Mytilus edulis: one gene and its partner. The protein of the gene in region 2 binds, or shares a complex with, the protein of the main gene of each other region. Links are inferred from orthologs where the notes say so. Each region holds a gene or a part of one and is shown on either strand. Other genes may lie near its edges.

Evidence for each region. Proteins that work in one complex are often made in the same cells at the same time.
Region 1: eukaryotic translation initiation factor 3 subunit A-like (region 2) and eukaryotic translation initiation factor 3 subunit E-A-like share a complex: the UniProt entries of both Drosophila melanogaster proteins name them as parts of the eukaryotic translation initiation factor 3 (eIF-3) complex. The link is inferred for Mytilus edulis from reciprocal best matches to the Drosophila melanogaster genes eIF3a and eIF3e.

The regions. Positions count from the first base shown.
Region 1 is NC_092344.1:103,022,288-103,029,587, forward strand, and holds the start of eukaryotic translation initiation factor 3 subunit E-A-like, read left to right. Parts: upstream 1-4,273; 5' UTR 4,274-4,315; coding exon 4,316-4,405; intron 4,406-5,535; coding exon 5,536-5,653; intron 5,654-7,300. Other genes in the region: E3 ubiquitin-protein ligase RNF146-like, read right to left, coding at 1,957-2,176. UniProt on the Drosophila melanogaster protein: Component of the eukaryotic translation initiation factor 3 (eIF-3) complex, which is involved in protein synthesis of a specialized repertoire of mRNAs and, together with other initiation factors, stimulates binding of mRNA and methionyl-tRNAi to the 40S ribosome.
Region 2 is NC_092347.1:68,643,052-68,650,676, forward strand, and holds the start of eukaryotic translation initiation factor 3 subunit A-like, read left to right. Parts: upstream 1-4,601; 5' UTR 4,602-4,756; coding exon 4,757-4,805; intron 4,806-7,625. UniProt on the Drosophila melanogaster protein: RNA-binding component of the eukaryotic translation initiation factor 3 (eIF-3) complex, which is involved in protein synthesis of a specialized repertoire of mRNAs and, together with other initiation factors, stimulates binding of mRNA and methionyl-tRNAi to the 40S ribosome.

The sequences.
Region 1 (7,300 bases), on a different chromosome or scaffold from region 2:
AGCATGTAAAATATAAAACAAAATGTTTAAAAAGTATTGTCAGAATCAGTCATTTATATGTGGGGAAATTTGATTGATTATATACAGAATCACTGAAACATGACTGTAGCAGGCCCCCATTTATAAAAAGTTCTGGATCCCCCACTATATGTGTTTTTCTACCAACATGTTTGACAATTCCAAATAGGATCATATAATTTTATGAAGTAAAAGTTATTTTAAATTTAAGTTAGTTATTCTTAAAAGGAGACCATAGGCGGATCCGGGAAAAATTTGGTTGATTATATAGGGAATCACTGAAGCATGACTGGAGTGGGCCCCCCCCCCCCCCCCCCCCCCCCTTATGAAAAGTTCTGGATCTGCCACTGGAGACTGACCTCTCAGTTATTCAATTATTTTAAATTTTGAAAATCAGAAAAAATAAACTTCACATCAGCCATGTCAGCATGATCACAATACTTTAAAATATTAAAAATAGCTGATATCAATTTTTATAAAAAACTTGACAACTGGCAACTGCACAAGCTGAAATTGGCGGGAAAGTGACATTTAAAGGAAACACTCCTTTGTTAATTTATGTATCATTGTCATTTTGTTTAGTTTCTTTTGTTACCTATATATATTCTGACATCAGACTTTGACTTCTTTTAACATTTTAAACTGAGTTTTACTGTGCGTATTGCTGTGTGTTTGTTTTTTCTACATTAGCTAGAACTAAAAAGTGTAGGGAACATGGGGAAAGAGTTGAGATCTCACAAAACATGTTTAACCCTGCCACATTTAAGGGCCTGCCCCAAGTCAGGTGCCTCTGACCTCTGTTAGTCTTGTATGATTTTTAATTTCAGTTCATTTATATATTTCAGAGTTTAGTATGATGTCCATTATCACTAAACTTGTACACATTTTTGTTTAGGGGCCAGATGAAGCATGCCTCTGCAAGCAGGATTTTCTCCCTGTTTTGTAGACCCATTGGTGGCCTAGCTGCTCTATAGTCAGGTTGTTGCCTCTTTGACGCATTCTCCATTTTCAATTTTACTCCTGAAAAGGCTGAAATTTATTAAATAAATTCAGATTTTGGTATGTAGATTTTTTTGTGGGGAAGGATCTTAGAAAATCTGGGCAACCATTTGAAAAAAGAAGTATATCATACCATATATTATACTGTTCCCAGATCATACCTAACTTGGATGGAATTATAACTTATTTTATCGATACTTTTGGATATTTTCAAAAACATGCAGATGAGGTACTAATAATGTAAGAGTTTGTACATGTATATAAGCAAAAATTTTACTTGTCATTGAAGAGAAAATGTCAAATTCGGTCTTAAAGTTAAGAGGAGTTCAGCATACCAGGAACATATATATATTATACTGTTCCCAGATCATACCTAACTTGGATGGAATTATAACTTATTTTATCGATACTTTTGGATATTTTCAAAAACATGCAGATGAGGTACTAATAATGTAAGAGTTTGTACATGTATATAAGCAAAAATTTTACTTGTCATTGAAGAGAAAATGTCAAATTCGGTCTTAAAGTTAAGAGGAGTTCAGCATAAAAAATGACTTTAATGTTATATTGTACATGTACAATGTCAATGATGTAGGAAGGAGTCGCATGAAAAAACATGCATTACCCTTTGTGGGATAATTTTCGACAGACACCACCTGAGCCGGCCACCTGAGTCTGACTAAATTACTAGCTTACTATACAGACACAGTATGGGATTTGTTGATTGTTAAAGGATATATCATGTACAATGCCCAATAAATGCTTACCTCCATGTCCTATACATTGTAGATGGTTGCCTCAATAGCAAATCACATGTAGATCTCCTAATTTTATATCATAATTTCACGAATTATATACCACTATACCAGTCTTATTAAATACTTTTTTTACAAGTTGCAGTATCATGACTAAAAGTTACATATAAATATATATATATACCATTTTCTGTTAATTGGGAATCATACTGAATGTTCTGAAATTTTGTACTGGCTTGTTGTTGGTTTGGTTTGATTTCACTGCATTTATCTTCATCGTCTTGATCTGCCATCTCACGTTGCCGTCCTCCTTCGTCAGTTTCATTCCGTGCCATTTCTCGATTCAAGGTCGCCTGGTTGGTACAGTTGGCAGCACTCCCACTTCTTAGGCCAGGCCTGCTCATACCTGCTGCATTTGATGCAGCGACTAATTTAATGAATCACAAAAATCGAACACTTCCAGTTAGAACAGCCTTGACCTTTCATCGTCGTTACGAACTTTTCGAATACTTTTCGGAACACTAATGAACTTGTGCGGTACAAAATTCCATTGGAAAATCAAACTAAATTTAAAAAGTTATTATCAAAACGATTCTTTACACAGTGTAAAAGACCGCAAAATATTTATCCGAAAATAAAATATGATGACTAAATAAAAATCTGCCACTGGACACAGCATAAAATATTTCCGTAATGTATTGATTGGGCTTTTTATTTGTCTCAGCATGGAAGTATTGCTTCCATGGTCACAGCAAAGATTTGTACTATACAAATCATAGGTCCCAGTATACTTTCCTTTAAAATAAAAGTTAAACTTAAATAAGAAAGAACTGAAAAAATCTGTTTAGTTTAGATTTATAGCTCGATAAGACAAGATAAGATAAGAAAATTTATTTTATGTCGGGTTGTAAATACTACAAACATAAGCTCTGTAGAGCTTTTTGTCGACATTAATAACAACAACAACACATACAAGACATATATAGGACATATACAGCACACACAATAGACAATATAAAGACAGCTATATTGCATACGCAACTGAGTTCATATATAATTATATATAAAAGCAAGTACAATCAAGTAAAGCACTAAACTAGATTATAAGCACATGCAAAGCAGACAAATAAATAGGCTAAACTAGTTCTAAAAGTAGCATGAAAACATAAAAAGCCATAAAACTTATTTCATAGAGCCAGAGACATATGAATACAGGCTAGCCGATATGTCTCTTATAATACTGATAGAGCGTAATGGACTATCATGTTGAATACAATATATATATATAGTGAGATTCCATTTAGATATATCTCGGATATATATATTAAAACAAGTCTAAACTTTTGAAAACAACGTCCAAACCTATGATTGCGTTGGATAAAAAAACGCAATTTTTATACGTCTGCATGTAAAAAACATCGTTGTAGAAGGGTCTCAATACAGCACAAACAACATTTCCAAGAGACCAGTAAGTGTAAAAGTGTTTATATTTCACAGCTCGTTCGCTATGCCCGTGTCTGTTGTGACGTTTTTGATTTTAACGAACATAATCTATGTATTACTGGTAAATTATTAAACCAGGGATCATCGTAATGTATATCCATAAATTACTTAAAATCTTTATTAAATTTCCGATAGATATAAAAATTTGATTTTGAAGTTTGATTGTACCTGTAGGAAACTTATTTCAAACAGGATAGCACATCTTCATTTTTACGGAAATGTTGTTAACCGTGCCCGGAAATTTAGAAATGATCCTTGTAAACTGATCGCTCCTTTAAATAAAGTTATTCTAAAAGGTTACCAATTCAACAGTATAGTTATACCAATAAAAACAATCATTAAATGATTACAGTGTTACACTGTAATCATTTAATGATTGTTTTTATTGGTCAGTATATTAAATGATTACAGTGTTACACTGTAATCATTTAATGATTGTTTTTATTGGTATAACTATTGATTTTGTTATCAGTAAATTAAAAGCAAACTAAATATTACTAGTATGTTATATACATATACACATTCATGGATCTACATTCTGTCGATACCTGTATCTTGGCATTCACAAAGTCATGTTTTTCTCTGACTGTTTATGACATCTTAACACTGAATCCATTTTGTGTTGAATGCGTGACGGTTATAATGAAGTCAAATTATACACCTCTTTCTTTAAAAAAAATTAAACAAAATAGCAATTACACAATAATTGGAAACTTAAACATCGAGTGGGGATATTATATCTATAGAGTTTAAAATAGCAAGTGTTCTACAATGAGACTATCAAAATCCGTGTCCTTGAAAGGCTCGGAAATCCGAATAAATATTAGCCCCGCTTTCCTGTTCATCGTTCGAATATATATACAAAATATATGGTAAGAAATTTACTGTTATACCCATTTGTTTCTAAAATTGCAATTGCGTCTGAATGTTATGCATGCTTTTAAAAAAAAAAACTGTATAAAAAAAACAAAGAATATTCCTATCCGTACCCGACGTTTGTTTTATGATTTATAATCCTTTTTGACAAGCGCACCGGCAGCATGGCGGAATGGGACTTGACTTCGCGAATGGGACAGTATTTAGACCGTCATTTGGTCTTCCCTTTACTAGAATTTTTATCTGTGAAAGAAGTAAGTAGTATAATAAACATACATGACACAGAAAGAAACGTATCGTGATCCCGAGCTACGATTCAAATGAATGTTTATCCCATCTGTCATAGATGATCTGTCATAGATGAGGGAGGGTAGGAGGGGTCCTGATCCCGAATTCCCGGGCTTAAAAATACGAAATCCCGAAATCCCGGGCTTAAAAACACGAAATCCCGAGGTTCCGAAATTCGAAAAAAGAATTCCCGGATCCCGAAAGGGTCAATCCCGAAATCCCGAGCTTAAAAACACCCGATCCCGTAGTCCCGATAAAGGTCCTATCCCCCCTCATAGATAACCTTTCCGTATTGACCATATAAAACCCGATACCGGTACTTTCGATTTGAATTATTTTATAGATATTAACAATAAAAAAAAAGATAAAATAGCAAACCAGAACTACAAACAACTCTCCTATATTAACAAGATTGAAAATTATAAATTAAGACCAGACGTAATCCCTTTTATGGTCGTGTATCTTAGATTAATGCACCTCATCACTATTTCCTGCCATTACTGGACAATACACAGGTTCCTGTAAAGTTCTGACGCCACAATACAAAATATCTGACGCCACTATTGAAAAGTGATTGTGATATGACGTCAGTCAATAGTTTAAGCGGGACAGATTCTTTGGTCAGTTGGGAATAGCAATAAGGTGTATACTAGAATTAGATTCATTTCTGATTTGACCACTTTCAGAAATCCCTCATCAAGCACAGAGTAACTGGAAATGTTAGTAAAATGTTCAATGTCAAAACAATGTTCAGTTTCTTAAAGTCTAGCTATTTATTTGTAGAATTAGGTGTTTGATGATAAAAATTATCCTTATAATTATACATAGAAAAAGTACAAACATTTGGAAATAACAGAGACATATAATTCAAAAAGAATCGCAACTCAGAGAACTACCATCATATCTCTCGGTCACTAGGAAATCCTTGTGAGATCTTCTTCGGTAACTAAAAGTATTGAAAGTACTAGAAGTAATGATGAATGTTTTAAAATAACTTGATTTCTACCGTTATAAATGTTTGAGATACTTGTGTTGTCTATAACCCTCACTGCACATATATTAGTCTATAGTTAAGAAAATATTTTTATGTTTTCAGCTGTATGATGAAAAACAGATGTTAAAAGGGAAGTTGGATCTTCTCAGTAATACAAACATGGTGGACTTTGCAATGGATGTACATAAAAATTTATATCCTGACAAAGATGTACCACAAAGTAATTATACAGTTACATAAATATGTCGACTATATAAAGACAATAACACTCAGGTCCTGATGAGGCCTATTTATAGGTGAAACATGTCGACCAAATAAACAGATACTTTGCGCTAAAAACTTGAGTGTTGTTGTCTTTATTGTAGACATATTAATCACCACTTCAGGTGTTGGTTCACTTATATTTTTACACTTACATATATACATGTGATAAACATTATATCTTATTCACATCAAACAAATACTACACTTCAGCAATAATTCAACTAGGCATTGTTCCAGTGCATTTGCACACCTTTCTCTCGTAATGTGTTTAAGGAAATACGAAAATATGAACTAATTTCTGAAAGGATTCAGGAAGAAATTTTTATAAAAATGGCAATTTACATACCACTCCTCCTGCTCCTGACATGCCTGAATTAGTGCTTTGCATCGACCTAAATGACATATTGGAATAGAACAAAACTTGATTTACTGTAATACAAACGAGAAGATGGTTGAGAATGGTTGAACTATAATATTACTTACAAATGTGATTAAGGATTCAAAGACGATCAATTGTCTGGTTGAATTTTGATTTTTTAGACTATTCACTAATTCTGAAAATATGTATTATAAAGAACATGGATTAAACAAAAAATATATCTGTTTTCCATGGTCTCAAACTAGTATTGTATGAACTACAAAGAGTTATTTACAAGATTAGAATTAATTGTCTTTGGCCCAGGGCTTCTAAAAAAATTTTGAGCCAGCCGGACATTTTATATCTGATTCCAATTTTAATCTCTAAGACTAAGTCACAAAAGGCAATTATGGTAATCAAATGGCCATCCCAATGATTGACATTAGATTAAAAAAAACGAAATTAAACTTTACTTTGATATGAATTTGATGTTCTGATGTAAACTGTTAAAATTGGCAGTGCATCATTCAAAGTGTGTACATCAGCGTGCTCATATCTGCCGGCTCTTTATTTGTGCAAAATGACGTTGTCAAAAAATTTACTTTAGTTTTCAAAGTCAAACCGGATGTTGACACATTTTCCCAAACCGGATGTTGACTTGACAATGGTAAAACATGGACCATAAACGGATACGTAAAATCCGTGTACATTTACAAAGCACGACTGAGTGAAGAAGCTCTTTCCACGTTATTTCTTGAACAAAATACTTGAAATGAACGTTAGATACCGGTTTCAATGATTATTTTACCATTTTTGAAGAAATGTAGGATGCATAATTAAATTTCCCACCTGTGCACATGCGCACACGTGTTCTTATTCATGCAACATAGTTCTGACGATTTTTCATTTAAAATCTTTTTAAATGTTTCATCAAATCATGTTTATAAATGTATTTATTATAATTTAATCTTTTGGACTAATTCAATTAGATACAAACCACTGAAATGTACGGAAATAATTGTGAATAGACCGATTAATTTATACGATGTCCGGTACTGAAAATTATTGTTTACCTGTCATCTGAACAGGTAGTTTTCAGCTGTCCAACAACTAATTAGCTTGGATTAAAATTAGAGAGTATTGAAGTAGGGGTTGTTTTGATAGTAATTAATCATCATGTCACTTTTATGACCGGAAATGTGGGGCTGTTAAAGGCAAAAAATTGGGTCAAAAAGATCGTCAATT
Region 2 (7,625 bases):
TATTTAGAATGAATCTAATGACGGTCATTGGTTTAATTTGGAGTAAACGTCCAAACCAGTACCTTAAACTATGATTAAAGGGAGCCGTGGATAACCTTCAATCATTACCGAAGCAGTATGCGTGGTCTTTCATTTAGAATTATTTTACTTTATGAAAACAAGATGGATCAATCGCAGAAAAGTGTTTTCATCTGAAATTGAACCTAGCAAAGCGATGGCTTCTGCATCTGTCGATCTGATGTAACAACATAACTAGATCTTACAAGTATTTGAAAGCTTGCAATATGTTACTAAACGGTGACCAGATCGTCTGACTTAAATCGCGCTAAAACTAAAATAGAAACGGAAAAAATGGCTTCTGAAATTAACCATGAAAAAAAAAACTTCAAGGAAGTTTAAGTGAATTCGACGAAGGTTTAAGTAATTGTTATGTAATAAATTTTAACGTCAGACTGTGAAGGCCAAAAAAGATAAAAAAAAAAAAAAAAAAAAAAAAAAAAAAAATACGGGAAAACTCATCATATATATATAGAATGAAATATTGACTGGGGAAAATTAGGTGAACGTTCGTCTGTAATTCCCACTGCTCACGACGTACTTATCATAGAAATTTAAACTGTGAGGTCACCAAAGGTTCTAAACGCCTAAATAAAATAATTAAAAATACTAATCAGGAATAACCTTTGTAATTTGAAAATAAATAAAAATGGCCTACAACACGGAGTCTTGGCTCACACCGAACAGCAAGCTATAAAGGTTGAATACTTAAAATGCTTTACTTGATTTTTTGTTATGGTTTGACCATCAATTTTCCTAATATGATATCGTTCTTTCAGATTATTTTTTTTTACTTAATTGGCTTTAAAAGTTACAATGCATGATGTCGTCTGTTTATGTAGTTCATATGTGTTTTTCGTTTCTCGTTGGTTTTCCCGTTTGAATGGTTTTACACTAGTAGTTTTGGGGCCCTCTATAACTTGCTGTTCGGTGTGAGCCCAGGCTCCGTGTTGCAGGTCGTACCTTGACCTATAATGGTTTACTTTTATGAATTATTACTTGGGAGGAGAGTTAAATTGTCTCATTGGCACTCATACCACATCTTCCTATATCTATCTATATCTATACATTTTTTTTTCAACAAAAGAATATATCACAAGAATATAAGTTTTGTAAGAAACGTGAGAAATTGTGTTGGACTTGAAGATAAGGCAAAGTGACAAATATCTGAAAGAATGAATCGTTTTATGGTATTAAACAAAGAAATCAAATGATTTTTTAATTATCCAGAACTCTTCACAAACAAAACCCACATGTATACGCATTGAATAAATAGTAGGCCATTCTTAAATGATCACACCGTAGAAGTAGTTGTGCTCTTAATCAATGAGATATTTTGTGAATTAACCCCATCAACTTAATAGTTTTTTTTTACAATGGATAAACCTATTTTTTTTATTATTATTAAATAATATCATCTCTGAACATTATTATTCTTATAAATGACACGGTTGTATGTGATGATTATAATAAATATTTAAAACAAATTCCTTTCAAGCTTTGTAAAAAGAAAGTTTCATTTTATGTATCGGAATGTGTAACAAGTGAATATTTCAATCCCCACTGGAAGGCCTCTGACAGACTGGGTGAGCATAAAATCATAGCCGTTGACAAACAAGTTACAACCTACAAACGTTTTACTGTCGACCACACTGTTATGCAATTAATTCTAATTTCGTCATTATGCTCTGGATAGTCATTTGAGCATAAACAGTTTTTGTCCAGCTACCGTAAAATTTCACAAATGTTTGACAAAATTATTTATATCTTAAAACTAAACTACGTAATGAACCTGCATGTACATAGTTATAATATTGGCACTGCCGACGAAATTGATGATCAAAATAGCTCGCTTTCGCGACATAAATGTCAATGGCTCGACAAAAAATAAAAGTCACATATCCATAGGCGGATCCAGGGGGGTCCCCCCTTAGGTCAGTCAGCGGGCCCCCCTCCCTTAGGAAAAGTTCTGGATCCGCCACTGAATCGAATCTTAGCTCATAATGAATTGCTTGAAAAAAATAAGGAGAGAGAGTAGATTTAGAATTTGACAGAAATAATATGAAACTAATTTTCGTCACTTTTATTCGCAATTACAAGCCATTGAAGAAAGAATTAAAATGTTGATGTACTGTTAACCAATTCCTTTATTTTTATTTATATGAAAATATTTTTTTTAACCAAATTCAAGTGTACGCCAGGGCGTTTTGACGTAAACGTAGCTCCGCGTATGGTTAATGTGCTAAAATTGCAGCACATCTGTCGCATTTAACAAAGTTTTGTGACTATATTTCCTTTTGTTTTCGTATTAAAATCATTCATATCTTTTATCATATTTTCTAATAACGTATAATATTAATATTACATTTGTACGTTAAATCTTTAACTATTATTTTGCGTTAATTGTTTTCCATATAAAAGTCATCCTCCCTCTCTTTACATATAGATACTAAAATACAATAAAATCTATATCATAGAAATCTCTACAAATTTTTCAATAAAATAAATGTGTTATGATGGTCCTAGGACCATCGTAGTTAGGACTATCCTAAGACAGCTTTGTTTTACACCCTAAGACATGTCTCAGACACGACCTAAGACCATCCTAAGTAATGTCCTAAGATATATATCCTTGGATACTTTCATTGACACGGCCCCTGATGTTATTTATGTATTATTGTCATTTTGTTTATTTTCTTTGGTTACATCTTCTGACATCAGACACGGACTTCTCTTGAACTGATTTTTAATGTGCGTATTGTTATGCGTTTACTTTTCTGCATTGGCTAGAGGTATCTCATAAACATGTTTAACCCCGCTGCATTTTTGCGCCTGTCCCAAGTCAGGAGCCTCTGGCCTTTGTTAGTCTTGTACTAATTTAATTTTAGTTTCTTGTGTACAATTTGGAGTTTAGTATATATGGCGTTCATTATCACTGAAAAAGTATAATATATTTTTGTTTAAGGGGCCAGCTGAAGGACGCCTCCGGGTGCTGGAATTTCTCGCTGCATTGAAGACCTGTTGGTGACCTTCTGCTGTTGTCTTCTCTGCGGTCGGGTTGTTGTCTCTTTGACACATTCCCCATTTCCATTCTCAATTTTAGTCTCAGGTAGGGATGACGCGGCCGGATATATTTCACTGTATTCTAGTCTAATAATATTAATTTGTAAATTCAATAAAAAAAAAAGATGAATGTTTGTCTAAAATTAACCCATAAGGTTCAAATACATATATGGTCCAGTTCGTCCTAGACCATATATTTAATGTATTTTAATTATGCCACTTGAAAAAATGAATATAACTTTGGTAAAATAAATACGAAGGGCTTCATGATCAAGCACCTGCCGGAAGACACAATGTGTTTTAAATAGACAAAAGTTTTCCAACTGATCTAAAGTATACAACCTCTTTAAACTAAAAGTATAATTGACACATATCATCGTGTAATGTGTTTTCGTACTAATAACAATTTTCACTGCTTACGGTTTTTACTGTTGAGTTTTTATTTAGGTGTTTACTCAGATTTAAAAAGCATGTCCTGTAGATTGATTTTAGGTATCTAGTTTTTTTGTCAATGATTTCTCTACGATTTTTTACTGTTTCCGATTACTTTGCGATTTTTGTATGTCAAAAAAACGGCGTCATATGTTTTCGTATGAAATAAAAATTGGATCAGTACACGGACAGGAAATGACTACAAAATCCGGAAATAAATTTTTTCTAAAGTCGTGGTTCTGGTGATCGCTTGAATCATAAAAAAAGTTATTAAATACTTTTCAGTACTAAAAATTACTAGTAAATAGTGTAAGGTTGGTGTTTCGTGTGATGAAATTTTTAGATTTTGATTAATTTTCAGATTGGCACCTGGTTTGTACAAAATACATTATTTTTTCTAAAATAAAATGCAGTTTTCAAAATTTATGATTAAATATAAAAAGTTAAGACTGTTTTCATCTTCATGTATCAAGGATGTATAAAAAAAAATTGTCAATGAAATATTGAATAGTTGGATTTTGAACAACCATTTTATATAAGAACCCTGCTAATTTTAACTCGATGGTTTGTAATTAAAACGGCCATAAAAACACATGACAGTCATATGTCTTGAAGATCCGGTGTCTGACTTGCAAAAAACATATCTGGACTTTATTTTAACCCTTCAGAATTTTTTTCCACAACTATTCTAGTGATGCGTATTTTTGACATTAAATAAAAATGGCTAAATAGGTCAGTTTTATTTAATTTGTTCTAACGTCTTTAAAAAGCGACGTTGAATATGTTTTAAATATATCAAGTTGTAGTGGTGTTGTTGTTCTAAATATAGAAACAGAAAAACATGCCACAATGTACGCGTATGCAGTCGAAACCGACGAAATGTGGTTGATACGAAAACATATGACATACGAAAACATATGACACGACGATATTTTAAATAACGATTGACGAAATCTGAGACTACTATATGTGTTATAGTAGTCTCAGACGAAATTAAATTAAAAAGACGGATTCACGTACGGGGTTATCATGTTTTCCGTCAAAGTTTTATAGAAGAAACGTACCATGATCTCTTTTTAGTTATATCATGCCCTTTATCTAATGAGTCGGCCATTTTGTACTCCACATGGCCGGGAAGACACAGTGAAGTGCGACCTAAGAAATTTTTTATCGGTTTAATACATTATGCACATAAACTGAAAAGATGCCAACATATTTCCAAAGACCAGAGAATGCTCTGAAAAGAGCTAATGGTACTAACCTCTTAACAAATACTCTTCTTTACTTGATGTTTCAATATTTGCGAATAATGATAAATTACTTCTTCTTCTTTAGGTTTTCAGTAGTCCTTCAATGATCTGAAGATTATTTACTGTTTGCGCGCGCAGCGTGGCCTATATATATATTTACAAAAACAAAAGGGCCAAAACAAAAACAAAAATATTTGGAAATAAATTTGAGGTGCATAATTTATTAAAATTGTGATTAAAACTATGTACATAGGCTAATAATGAGTTAGATGAATTTGTGGAGAACAGCTGGTGTGAGCTGTTCTCTGAAAGTGTCGACTGTGGCGACAGCGACTGTTTGCATTGGCAATAAGTTCCACTGAGTTATGGTATATGGAAAAAATGAGTATTTATATGTATCTTTTTTGGTTGAAATGTGTCTAAAAGTATAATTATGGTTTTTGCGTGTTCTACTGTCTGATGGTATGAGAATAGCCGATGGTATAGCTACGATTTGATGTACTATTTTATAGAACATTATTAATCTTGTGCGAGTTCTTCTTTCCTGTAGAGTTGGCCAGTTTAGGGTGTTTATCATATCTGTCGGGCTACTGATGTTATGGTATCTGTTACAGACATATCTGGCAGCTCGCCTTTGGACCATCTCGATTTTTGAGGTTTGTTCAACTGTGTGAGGGTCCCATACTGAACATGAATATTCCAGTTTAGGACGGACTAGTGCCAGATATGCCTGAGTTTTGATGTTCTGACATGATGTTTTTAAGTTTCTTTTTAAGAAGCCCAGAGATTTGTTGCCATTAGCTATGATGTTGTCTGTATGTTTAGACCATTTTAGGTTTGCTTGAAGTGTAATGCCCAGATATTTAGCCGAAGAGACAAGTTCCAGTTTGTGATTGTGAAGGATATAGTCATGTTTAAATGGGTTTTTCTTCTGTGAGACTGTAAGGACTGTGCATTTGTCTGGATGGAAAGCCATCAACCAGTCTTGCTCCCACCTAGCAGCTGCATCTAAATCTAACTGTAGTGCATCACAGTCGCTTTGAGATTTGATGGTTTTGTAGATGATACTGTCATCGGCAAACAGTCTGAGCTTACTGGATGATAGGTATTCTGGTAGGTCGTTAATGTATACCAAGAATAATACTGGGCCCAGAACTGTGCCTTGAGGGACACCTTAGGTGACTGGGGCTAGGTCAGATGACTCTCCATCCAGGACAACTGTTTGTGTTCTGTCATTTAAGAATGCAGAGACCCAGTTTAAAGTTTCATTTTGGATACCGTAATAGTGTAATTTATAGAGTAATCTTTTATGAGGGACTTTGTCAAAGGCTTTGGCAAAGTCCATTATAATTAAGTCAATTTGAGTGTTGTTGTTATTATTTGCTGCAAGTTCTTGAATGAATGAAATGAGTTGTGTTTCGCAAGATCTAGACTGACGGAAGCCATGCTGGAGGTCATACAGTATGTTGTTCTTTTCAAGATGGTTGATGATGTGTTTTGTGATGATATGCTCCATAAGTTTACAGGATATACATGTCAATGATATAGGGCGGTAATTTTCTGGTTTATATTTTTCCCCTTTTTTGAATGCTGGTGCTACATTGGCGTGTTTCCAGTCTGATGGTGTAATGCCAGTTTCAAGAGATGTTTTAAAGATAAGTGTGAGAATTGGAGCTGTTTGGTCTTTGAGTTCTTTAAGTATTCTGCCGCTGATGTTGTCTGGGCCAGTTGCCTTATGTGGGTTTATATTGTGTAGGAGTTTCTTGACACCAGGTAAGGATATTTCAAGTGATGTTATCACAGGGTGTGAGCTAGGACCTTTGTCTGGAATGGTGTTATTTGATTCTGTTGTAAACACTGATTGGAATTGTGTGTTGAGGATGTCTGCCTTTTGCTTTGTGTCAGCTATTAATTGTCCTTCTTTTTTTAGAGGTGCAACACCGGTGTTATCTGTGCGCAGTGATTTAATGAAGGAAAATAGCTTTTTAGGTTTAGACTGATTGTTGAATTGTTGGTCTGGTTCATTTATGGGTAGGTCTAAGATCATTTTTTCAATATAACCCCAGTATGCAGTTCTTTGTTCTTTTTGTACTTGTTTTTTCAGATGTCGGTACTTTTCAGCATACTTGATGTCTTGTTTCATTTTATAATAGAGCTTGTTTTTTCGATTGCCATATGTCGTCGACTACGAGTCTACTTATCTTCTGTGTCTGCATTAAGGGTCTTGTAAGGTCGCGTGAACTATTGATTAATATAACAAGAAAACAAATAATGAAATATGATTACTTCTCAGTTAATTATTTTTCCCGCTCCATTTATGATGCACCTTATCGCTAATCCCGGCTGAACCGGCCAAATAGCGATAAGGTGTATTGTAGCTTAGGTTAGTCCATGTTAGTCCCAAATAATACACCTTATCGCTATTAGTCCGCCATTACTGGATATCACATAAAAGTTTGACGTCATATAACAAAATATCTGACGCCACAATGGAAAAGTGATTGTTGTATGTGTCTAAAAGTTCAAGCGGCCGAATCCAGGTCCGTTAGCGCCCATTCACGTTCGCATCCACTCATGTTCGCCCCCTTTCATTTCCGCCCTACATGTTCGCGCCCAATTTTAATTGGTTTTGTGTTTGTTTAATAACTTTGTAATCAAGTTTTGGCAAGTAGTATTCTTATAAGTATAATTGTTTTCATGGTCTCAAAATAAAGTGAGACCGCATTTTTTTTTTTTGTGTTGAATAAATCTTAATCATGTTTTGGATAGTGTATTGTTAAAAAAAATTATATTCCTTTCTAAATAAAGTGGAATTCTGTCAAT